Neurospora crassa OR74A: one gene and its partners. The protein of the gene in region 1 purifies or fractionates together with the protein of each later gene. This does not show direct contact. Links are inferred from orthologs where the notes say so. Each region holds a gene or a part of one and is shown in the gene's direction. Other genes may lie near its edges.

Region 1 (2,180 bases):
AACACCAGCGACAAGAGGACCTGGATTGTTGGTGGCAAGGATGCCAACGCGGACAGTGCAGAGCTCAGCCTGGCCAAGAAAGCCAGCCTCAGGCGGACCTTTAGCACCAAGACCGGACCAGCCAACGGCGGTGCTGCCCCGGCCGCCGGAGCCACCAACGGATCTTCATCTGCCAATGACCTTGCTGGTCTCGACATGAACAACATCGGTCCTGCCGAAGCCAAAGTCATTAAGGCGCCCAACCTCGCCAGCGCCGCTCACTTGTCTCCCGGGTGGGAGAAGGGCTTCAACCGGCTCCTCTTGCGCGCCGACGGCATTCTCTTCGAAGACGGGCAGATCCAGGTCGGCGTGCGCGCCGAATATCGCGGCCAAATGGCGGCCATCATCCTCTACTTCACCAACAAAACACCAGCCGTCATCGGCTCCTTCACCACCACGCTCGATCTGGACCCTTCGGAGCGCGCCAACCTGTCTTGGGACGTCAAGAGCATGCCCGAAACCACCATCTACCAGGGCGCGCAAACGCAGCAGGTCGTCGTCTTTGAAGCCAAGCGCGTGTTTGAGAAGGCGCCCACCGTCCGCATTTCGTATCTGGCTGGCGCTCTGCAGGCGCTTACCCTGAAACTGCCCGTCGTCATCCACAAGTTCATGGACCAGGCCGAGTTGTCGGCTGACGACTTTTTCAAGCGGTGGAAGCAGATTGGCGGCGCACCGCGCGAGGCTCAGCGCATCTTTGGACTCTCTGGGCCCAAGGATGGGGAGAGGGAGATTACGGAGAGTTTCATTCGCCAGGTGCTGGAGGGGTTCAGATGGGGATTGCTGTATAATGTTGATCCCAACAGCAAGAACTTTGTGGGGGCTAGTGTGGTGCATACGAGCGAGGGAGGCAAGTTTGGATGTTTGATGAGGTTGGAGCCTAACTATGGGACTCAGGTGAGTTTTTTTTTTTTTTTTTTTTTTCTCTCTTTTACTCTCTCTCACTCTCTATTCAACTTTGACGCATGGGATGGGATGGAATGCTAATACACGATGAAATGTGTACAGATGGTTCGGTTGACGATTAGAGCGACGGATGAGACGGTGCCGCCCGTGTTGCTCAAGATGATGGAGGAACGCCTTTCGCAGGGTGTGTCGATTCGCCCGGAGAGATATGAACCCCCGACGGCGAGCGACATTACCGAGTCGTTTAGGAATATCATGGTTAGGTAATAAGGGGGTGGGTGGGTGATGGCGGTAGTGTATGTGATTAAGAGGGGTCAGGGGTGGTGGTCGAAGGTCAAAAGACTACTGATTAAAGTCAGCGACTACCTACAGTACCGGGTCAAGTCATTGAGCCAAGGGCACACATGTGATTAGTGTGGCCCGAAGTCAGCGAAAGGTGTAGTATTATAGTAATAACCGGAGGTGCAACTGCACTTGTTGACGGTCATTGTCTATCTGGCTGTCGAAACTTGCAAGAGGCAGCACCAAGGAGGAGGAGAAGGAGGAGGAGGAGGAGGAGCTGATGAGAGAGTTCATTATGCTAGAAGGTAGTATATCTGGCAAAGAATAATGTTGATATGGAAGTAACCTCAAGGGAAGACAGGACTCCATGATGGTGTAGGGAGTGTGCGTTGAGTGTTGTGTGTGGACTTTCCTTGTATTCCATCCCCGGGCTGATAAGGCGATAACCAACAAGTGAACAGACGTGGACGTCAGACTGCAGCAGCCAGCAAGGTGCGAGAAATGGTACCCCGCTGGCCCCACTGAGCCGTGATCGTATGGTCCGAGCTCTACATATAATGCTGGTTTGTTTGTTAGCTCTGTACCCCGAGGAAGATACTGTCCAACCTATTACAAACGCAACAATGTTGTTTGGAGATAGACCAGCTATAGCCAGACAAACTCTCTGTATCTGTCTTCAACTTTTCATGTCAGATACAACTCTCAATCATTATATCAAGTACATTAAGTTATTGCTGAAACGCCTACACAAGTCGACTAGAGGTCTCGAGCTAACGAACAAACCCATTAAGCTAAGGTTTATTAGCGCCGATCACTCTGGTTGCTCATCAGCGGCTGGTCGGGTGGGTGATTGCGGTTGCATCACTTGACCGTTGAGACGGCGGGCTTTCACCGCAGTGATAAGTGATAACGTGAGCTTCTACTGCGTGTGCAAACACCACTCCCCTGCCATTGCC
Region 2 (4,284 bases), on another chromosome or scaffold:
ACTTCTATGGCCCCGGTCTCTTGTACAGCCAACGTATCAAGCTAGAGATAACAAGTGATGTCCATGCAAAGGCGTACTCATATCGACATCCATAGCCAATGGTTACAAAAGAAGTTGCTGCCGTATAGAGACCAATCGCTGTGATATGCATATTTCGAACGTGTATAGTATCCGCGAAGTTGAGACTCAGTCTCCCTCTACCATCGTCCATCAAGTTCGAGGTCTCATAACGACAATGCTGGTACAGCATGTTCCAGCGGTTCCCTGCGCACTTCCCAAGCAAGCCAGTCGGATCTCGTTGTCCTGTATTCACCACGTTAGCCTTCGTTTCACCACACTCTCCCCAAGGATAAAACTGACGGTAGCAGTCCCATACTATTAATCTTCCACACACCCACCGCCAGCGCCAACACCTGCATAAGCACATAGGCCGCCTTCACCTGCAGAATAGACCCCCGGTTGCTGTCCGTCTCGAATCGCTCAAAGGCCTGGTTGGTCGACAACAAGCCCATGATGGGGTTCTTGAAGGCCATAAACACCATCATGATGCTGAAGATCTGGAGCGAGTTGCCGGACATGTACATCATGATGAGCGTCATGGGCAGGTTCTTGGCGGGCGCGAGGGCGACTTCCCAGGCCTTTTTGAGCTTGAGCTGGTCCATCTTTTCGGGGGAGGGTTGTTCGCGGGGGGCGGGGCGGGAGACATCCTTCTTCTGTAGGGGTAAACATGTCAGCGAGGGGGCTATGATTCGTGGTAATGGGAAGTTGCTTGCCTTGGAAGAACCAGATACGGCTTGCGACGAGTAGCCTGGGGGATCGGGGATGCTGGCAGGCTTGGACTTGTAAGGCGGTGGGTTGGCGAGGTCGGTTACCCATCTGGGGGCGGGGTCGACAACGGGTTTGAGGTCAGTCATGGCGGGCTTTGTGAATGTATCGTCTATAGAAAGTGAAGGTATTGGTAATGGGAAGTAGGTGGAAGCTGGATTGCGATGACGCCCAACGTGTAGTGTAGTGTAGTGTACGTGATGGAGTCCGTGCTTCGCTAAGGTAGCTGCCCGTCCCTGACTTCCACTTCCCGTTCGGTCTCTGAGACACCGCAGGGCCCCACTACACTTAGTTGAGCCGCTTCCCCACGCTGGCCGCCGAGTGGTGGGGACCGTGCGCTGTTGATGATGCTACCGAGCTCCACTGAAGCGTGCCAGTCGTTCACTGGCAGAAGGGCGTCGTCCAGTGGGCGTTCAGTGTTGACGGCACCAAAGCGGCAGGTCCAGGTCTGCAGGGTCCGCGATCGCTGACCAGGAGGTGCCGTAATTAATCGACCCGACGGTTCAGGGGACGCCCCAACCTGACCGGTGAACAGAATTGAACCCGTATTATTTTCCATCGTTACCCCCCCCGGCGAGTCAAGATTTGAACTAAACATCATCTTTTCCGTTGTCTGTCTGGCTCGTTGGAGTTTTGGCTGAAGACTACCGTACCTAGAAGCTGTTTCATCCCGATCAACTACGTACAGTACAGCGACAACAGAAAGTGGAGGGTACTTTGCGCCGGAACAGATCTTCACCGAGCCTACCGAGAGAGTGACGACGACAAGGACGACGACGACGACGACGACGACGAACATCGCGATCCTTCTTCGACGACAATTATCTCCATTAGTACTCCAGCACTCGGGAACTTCTTCGCGACGGACATTGGATTATCTGCCTCAACCTCCAAGTTACAAAATAAAGAGGAGGACAAGCAGCAGAAAGAGTGCCTGTGACACCCTGTTTCACCTGCTTGTTGTTACATTGGTTGGCTGTTCTCGACTCGACGATAATCACAAAACATATAATTGTGTTCCAGAGCCAGAGGGGCATTTTCCTTGCCTAGCACACCACCCACCACACCTTACGCCCGCGCCGAGCTCGTTTGCCATTCGTCCATTTTGTCGATATCGAACCTATTTTCGTTGCATCGCAAGCATTCCTCGGCACCGGGTTCGAATCGACCAAAACAGGAATAGCTGTGAGGAGGTTGTGGACGATAATACTATACTCTACAAGCAGCCAACAACAACATGTCGGCCGCACAAGGAGGAGGAGACTCCAAGCTGTTCGCGAGGGTAAGATGAAATATATCATTACACATGTTACGCTGCTCGGGATATGCCGTTGCTTTGTCTACCACCACCACCACCACCACCACCCCTCCTCCCATCCACCACCCCAGCTCAGCTTCCTTCCTGTATCCCCCCCCCCCCTCCCTTGCTTGCTTGTTTGTTTCTCCTCAACATCGCGAACCTTGATGACCGCAATGACCACCGCCACCATGTTTGTCGCATACCCTATCCCGCCGAACATTAGCTTACCACAGACTCGACAGGGCAAAGTAGCTGAGCTACGCCTCGAGCTGAACAGCGGCAGCAAGAAGGACAAGAACTTTACCCAAAAGAAGATTGCCCTCAAGAAGATTGTCGCCAACATGACCATGAGTAACAATGACATGGTCGGTTTGTTTCCCGATATTGTCGCCTGCATGGCCATCCAGAGCTTGGAAATTAAAAAGATGTGCTTCTTGTATCTGGTCAACTATGCGAGGATGAAGCCAGAGATTGCGGTAAAAGCAATTCCGGTTCTGGAACATGTAAGTCACCAACCACGTCCACCTTTTTTTGTGCGATATAGCCAGTCACTGACAAAGACCAGGACATGGAAGATCCAAACCCCCTGGTGCGCGCCCTTGCCCTACGGACCATGTCTTATATCCACGTGCGCGAGTTCGTCGAGGCTACTGTGCCACTAGTCAAGCACCTCCTCCGCGATATCGACCCCTACGTTCGCAAGACGGCGGCTTTCTGCGTGGCCAAGCTCTACGATCACGATCGACACATGGTTGAGGCTTCGGACCTTATTGACAGACTCAACAACCTCTTGAGAGACGACAACCCGACAGTGGTGGCCAGTGCCCTGGCGAGCTTGATGGATATCTGGGAGAGGAGTGATGCTATCAAACTCACTATCGACTACAGCAATGCCTCCAAGATGGTTGCCATTCTGGCCGACTGCTCCGAGTAGGTTATCCCCCTTGCAACACAAGTACGGTCTACTGATAGCAAGCAGATGGGGCCAAACCTACATCCTCGAAGCCCTCATGTCTTATATCCCCCAAGAATCCGGCGAAGCTCTCCTTCTCGCCGAGCGTATTGCCCCACGCCTCTCACATTCCAACTCGTCGGTAGTCCTCACCTGTATCCGTGTGATCCTTTACCTCATGAACTACATCTCCGACCAAAAGCAAATCTCGGCCCTCTGCCGGAAACTCTCCCCACCACTGGTCACCCTCCTCGCCAAGGGTCCCGAAGTGCAATACCTCGCCCTGCGCAACGCCCTCCTCATCCTCCAACGCCGCCCCGAAGTCCTCCGCAACGACATCCGCGTCTTCTTCTGCAAGTACAACGACCCCATCTACGTCAAGGTCACCAAGCTCGAACTCATCTTCATGCTCGCCAATGAGAAGAACATTGACGAGGTCTTGACGGAACTCCGCGAGTACGCCACCGAAATCGACGTCCACTTTGTCCGCAAGGCTGTCCGCGCCATCGGCAAACTGGCCATTAAGATTGAGCCAGCGGCCAAGCGATGCATCAACCTGCTGCTCGAGTTGGTCTCCACAAAGGTCACCTACATCGTGCAAGAAGCCACGGTAGTGATCCGCAACATCTTCCGCAAGTACCCGAACCAGTACGAGTCCATTATCGGCACCCTCTGCGAGCACCTGGACTCGCTCGACGAGCCCGAAGCCAAAGCAGCCATGGTGTGGGTCATTGGCCAGTACGCCTCGCGTATCGAGAACTCGGACGCCCTCCTCGAAGACTTTTTGTACTCCTTCGCCGAAGAGCCCGTCGAAGTCCAGCTCGCCCTGCTCACAGCAACCGTCAAGCTCTTCATCCAACGTCCCACCAAGGGCCAGGACCTCGTCCCGCGCGTGCTCAAATGGGCCACCGAAGAAACCGACAACCCCGACCTCCGCGACCGCGCCTACATGTACTGGCGTCTCCTCTCGACTGACATGGAATCCGCCAAGCGCATCGTCATGGGCGAGAAACCCGCCATCACCGCCGAGTCGGAGCGTCTCGACCCCGTCACCCTCGAGGAAATGTGTCTCAACGTCGGCACCCTCGCCACCGTCTACCTCAAGCCCGTCCAGACCGTGTTTCGTAACGCCCGCCCACGCAAACTCCCAGACTCCCCGTGCCTCCAACGCCCCGACTATCTTGACTACTCAACAGCCCACCAACTG
Region 3 (4,448 bases), on another chromosome or scaffold:
TTAGACCACCTTTTCCTTGCTAACTCTTTAAGTTTTCACTTACCCCGTTGCCAAATAGCACCTCTTCATCAAGCCCGCCCCCCCCCCCCCCCGCCGCCGAGACGCCCTTCACCACCACAATCACTTTTAGCACCACAAACACTACATCTCACTATCAAAATGTCTACCGGCAACTTCAAATTCGAAAACAAGGGCCACAACTGGGTCCAAAACGACGTTTGGACCGCCGTCGACGGCTACACCATGGGCCAGCTCCACCCCTCCAGCAAGCCCAACGCCTCAGCCCTCCAAAACGCCCTTGATGCCTCTAAAGCCGCCGGCCTGCCCGACATCTCGGCCTCTCCGGCTCAGAGCAAGTTCATGGCTCTCCAGTGCCGCGTCTTGGGCGTCACACACGCCCTCGAGGTCGGCACTTTGGGCGGCTACTCGGCCATCTGGCTCGCCAGCGAGAACCCGCAAATGAAGCTTACCACTGTGGAGTTTGACCCCCACCACGTTGAGGTGGCGCGCAAGAACATTGAGTACGCGGGTTTGTCGGACAGAATCGAGGTTATTCAGGGATCAGGATTGGAGGTGTTGAACCAGCTGAAGAAGGAGATCGAAGAGGGCAAGAGGCCCAAGTTCGGCTTCTTCTTTATCGATGCCGATAAGCCAAATAACCTCAACTACTTCAACTTGGCGGTGGAAATGGCGCTGCCCAAGGCCATGATTTGCGTGGACAACGTGGTGCGCGGAGGCAGGCTGATTGATCAGAGCTTGACGGAGCCCAGGGAGACGGCGGGCAGGATTCTGGTCGAGGGAGTGGCCAAGGACACGAGGGTTGAGTCGGTGGTCATGCAGACTGTGGGCGAGAAGAGCTACGATGGATGTCTTTGGGCCATCTTGAAGACAGATGCTTGAAATACCTACCTATAATTGGGAGTTGAAGTGTACGATGTTATGAGTCATGACAGTGGTGGGGGACTTATCAAGCACTCGATTAAATAGTATGCTGCAATGAAAAGGAACCGTTACATGTCGCCTTGAAAATTCCTGAAGCTCCAAATAATGAAGTGGTCGTAGGTGGGATGAAGCAGGATGTCGTGCTCCTCAGATGTCGTATTGCCCATCCTTTTTCCCCTTGGCGCAGAGTTGTAGACGTGCTCCTTGTTTATTGTTAGTGCCACGAAAAGGGGCTTCGTTGTCAAAGTACCTCGTTGCTTGGTGCAGAGCGCAGTGCGTGTGTCACTAACAATTTTCCATCAGGCCTCGCTGCTGTGTTTCCTAAACGCTTAGGGCAGGAGTAAGGTATGATGTACCTACCTTGCTCGGTTATTGCCTGCCGTAGGGTGCGACAGGACGGAGACTGGCACACAGCTCAGAGCGGCAGGCTCCTCTCCCCAGCAGGGCACCCATGTCGCGCGCCCCCGTAGCGTCCACCATCCCCTGAAGAGCCGCCGTTCAGGTGGCACTAGTCGGGGCGCTCAACACCTAGGTACAGCACACGCAGGTACCTAGTAATGGGGTGTAGAGAGAGGTAGACGCGGGTTGCTGTTCCTGACCGCCCGCCGCCTTTGACATTGAAACTTGCCCGCCCGTGTCTGCCGTCGCCGCCCGTCGCCAACTCGACTTGCAACTCTCAATCATTACCTTCCTTCTTCTCCCCCCGACGACACCCGTCACGATGCTGTCCGGGATCCTCATCTTCAACCAAAAGGGCGAGAACCTCATCTTCCGAGCCTTCCGCAATGACTGCCGCCCACGACTGGCGGACGTGTTCCGCATCCAGGTCATCAGCAACGCCCAGGTCCGATCCCCTATCTTGACCCTCGGCAGCACCACCTTCAGCCATGTCAAGCACGAGAACATCTACCTGGTCGCCATCACCCGTAGTAACGCCAATGCCGCCCTGGTCTTCGAGTTCCTCTACCGCTTGATCCAGCTGGGTCGCGGCTACTTTGGCAAGTTTGACGAGGAGGCCGTCAAGAACAACTTTGTCCTGGTCTACGAGCTCCTGGATGGTATGTCCCACCTACGGTAGCCCCCCTTTTTGGTGTTTCTAGATGGCGGCTTGCAACTAACCTCAACTCTATGTCCGCCGCGCCCTTACAGAAATCATCGACTTTGGTTATCCCCAAAACACCGAGACCGACACTCTCAAGATGTACATCACAACCGAAGGCGTCAAGTCGGAGCGCGCCGTCGAGGACTCCGCCAAGATCACCATGCAAGCTACTGGCGCTTTATCCTGGCGCAAGGCCGATGTCAAGTACCGCAAGAACGAAGCCTTTGTCGACGTAATCGAAGATGTCAACCTGCTCATGAGCGCAACCGGCTCCGTCCTGCGCGCCGACGTCAACGGCCAGATCATCATGCGCGCCTACCTCAGCGGCACGCCCGAGTGCAAGTTCGGTCTCAACGACCGCCTCCTACTCGACCAGGACGGACTCATGAGCCTGCCCAGCGGCAACAGGATGGGGAGCAAGGCGACCAAGGCCGCGGCCGGCAGCGTCACGCTCGAAGATTGCCAATTCCACCAGTGCGTCAAGCTGGGCAAGTTTGACAGTGACCGCATCATCAGCTTCATTCCGCCCGACGGCGAGTTCGAGCTGATGAGGTACCGCGCAACCGAGAACGTCAACCTGCCGTTCAAGGTGCACGCCATTGTCAACGAGGTGGGCAAGACAAAGGTGGAATACAGCATCGGTGTGCGCGCCAACTTTGGATCCAAGTTATTTGCGACCAACGTGGTCGTCAAGATTCCCACGCCGCTCAACACGGCCAGGATCACGGAGCGCTGTACCCAGGGCAAGGCCAAGTACGAGCCGTCCGAGAACGTGATTGTGTGGAAGATTGGTCGCTTTGCTGGACAGAGCGAGTTTGTGCTGAGCGCCGAGGCCGAGCTTACGAGCATGACAAACCAGAAGGCTTGGAGCAGGCCGCCACTCAGTATGAACTTTAGCTTGCTGATGTTTACCAGCTCTGGCTTGCTGGTTCGCTATCTTAAGGTGTTCGAAAAGAGCAACTACTCGAGTGTGAAGTGGGTGAGGTATATGACAAGGGCAGGAAGCTACGAGATTAGGTAGGTTGCCGTTCTTTTCGTTTTTTTGTTCTTCTTCTCCGATTTCTTTGCTGTCTCCTTTACCGGCGCAATGCATTTCGCTAATACTTTCACAGGTTCTAAATTATTGTATAATACGTAATGGCGTGCGCCACCGACTACACACCCTATCCGGTTAATGCACGGGCCATCCTACCACCTACGGCATATAATAGCACGGCGTCTGGGCGTTACTAGTTACACGAAGGGAAGCATCAGGCGATTGATACCAGAGTAATAAAATCAACTTATACAAGGAGATGTCCCAAAGGGGGAACAAGGGTCACAACAACGTTACGACGAGCACAAAACGACGAAAAGCTCTTCGCCAGTGTATGGGACAGGCACGATAATACGTGGCACGCGTGGCAGTGAGCTATAGGACATGGGGCCGTGCGATATGGAGAGCTAAACTTCAAGCGATAGGATATGTCGCCAATCAGCTTTGTATGAAACTACCAGACCATGGGTGCTGGTGAAGGGAATGGTCTGGAACAGCACCAGGGGAATGGCTTGTCCGATGATAGAAAGAGACACGGGAAAAATGTTTTGAACTCATCTCCTGTTGTCCTGTTAATACGATCGAGCATGGCTGAAACGGGAATGTGCTTACATAGTAACAGGTCCCTCGAGAGGCCTGATACCGGTGGCCTTGGACTGGAGTTGGCCGCCTACTTAGCACCCAGGACCTTGCGAACCAACGAACTTGAACTCCGGATTTTTCTGCGCTTTTTGGTCCATCGAGCCGTGGCTCATTCTTCGCAACTCTAGAGGCACCTAGGACCAAATCTATTCGCTTGGTTTTGCCTCTCTAGGCAACGGTTTAGAAAATAGTGATTCAGTCTTACGGACACGATACAGCCCTGCCAGCTTGTCAGTGTCAGTTAGTGTTCACCATCACCGTTTCTGACTCGATAATTGCCGTCGTTCCAGCTTCCACCGTGTGACGAAAGACAGGCTGTTGTTTTGCTCCGTCTCGATCTGAGCGCTTGCGTCTCGTCGATGTGTTATCGATCAAGTGCCAACGGATATACCAAGTATGACGACGCGGAAAGGACGAAGCGTACTTGATCCCGGAGTCACCATCACAACTACTAGGACCAGACAGGTAGGTAGAAAAGGTGAGGAATGCGGCCGTCTTTCCGCAGCGTCGACAGTCTGGTTTGGCATTCCCCAAATCTTGAACTGGACCGCGTTTATTGTGCGTCGTCGTCATTGCTGAGTGTCGTGAAAGATATCAACCCCATCCGCATCTTTCTCTCATCTTTTACTCTGGGTCTCGTTCCTCCCCTTGGCCTTTTTCCCAATATCCCCTCACTTAAGAAAACAATGGGCAACGATACGTTGAGCCTCCTGTTGCCGAGGCTGT

The links.
Region 2: the proteins of NCU03440 (region 1) and NCU05232 purify together in Saccharomyces cerevisiae (affinity purification with mass spectrometry; 3 studies listed by BioGRID). This does not show direct contact. The link is inferred for Neurospora crassa OR74A from reciprocal best matches to the Saccharomyces cerevisiae genes APL3 and APL1.
Region 3: the proteins of NCU03440 (region 1) and NCU09673 purify together in Saccharomyces cerevisiae (affinity purification with mass spectrometry, with the first as the bait; 4 studies listed by BioGRID). This does not show direct contact. The link is inferred for Neurospora crassa OR74A from reciprocal best matches to the Saccharomyces cerevisiae genes APL3 and APM4.

What each region holds. Positions count from the first base shown.
Region 1 is NC_026502.1:711,378-713,557, reverse strand, and holds the end of NCU03440 (AP-2 complex subunit alpha), read left to right. Parts: coding exon 1-933; intron 934-1,044; coding exon 1,045-1,209; 3' UTR 1,210-1,665; downstream 1,666-2,180. UniProt on the Saccharomyces cerevisiae protein: Adaptins are components of the adaptor complexes which link clathrin to receptors in coated vesicles. Clathrin-associated protein complexes are believed to interact with the cytoplasmic tails of membrane proteins, leading to their selection and concentration.
Region 2 is NC_026504.1:5,672,376-5,676,659, reverse strand, and holds the start of NCU05232 (AP-2 complex subunit beta), read left to right. Parts: upstream 1-1,333; 5' UTR 1,334-2,062; coding exon 2,063-2,107; intron 2,108-2,367; coding exon 2,368-2,628; intron 2,629-2,690; coding exon 2,691-3,055; intron 3,056-3,104; coding exon 3,105-4,284. Other genes in the region: NCU05231 (ER membrane DUF1077 domain-containing protein), read right to left, coding at 225-303, 361-713, 774-914. UniProt on the Saccharomyces cerevisiae protein: Adaptins are components of the adaptor complexes which link clathrin to receptors in coated vesicles. Clathrin-associated protein complexes are believed to interact with the cytoplasmic tails of membrane proteins, leading to their selection and concentration.
Region 3 is NC_026505.1:874,872-879,319, forward strand, and holds NCU09673 (AP-2 complex subunit mu-1), read left to right. Parts: upstream 1-1,551; 5' UTR 1,552-1,663; coding exon 1,664-2,000; intron 2,001-2,091; coding exon 2,092-3,061; intron 3,062-3,156; coding exon 3,157-3,163; 3' UTR 3,164-4,025; downstream 4,026-4,448. Other genes in the region: NCU09674 (O-methyltransferase family 3), read left to right, coding at 160-900; NCU09672 (extracellular cell wall glucanase Crf1), read left to right, coding at 4,409-4,448. UniProt on the Saccharomyces cerevisiae protein: Component of the adaptor complexes which link clathrin to receptors in coated vesicles. Clathrin-associated protein complexes are believed to interact with the cytoplasmic tails of membrane proteins, leading to their selection and concentration.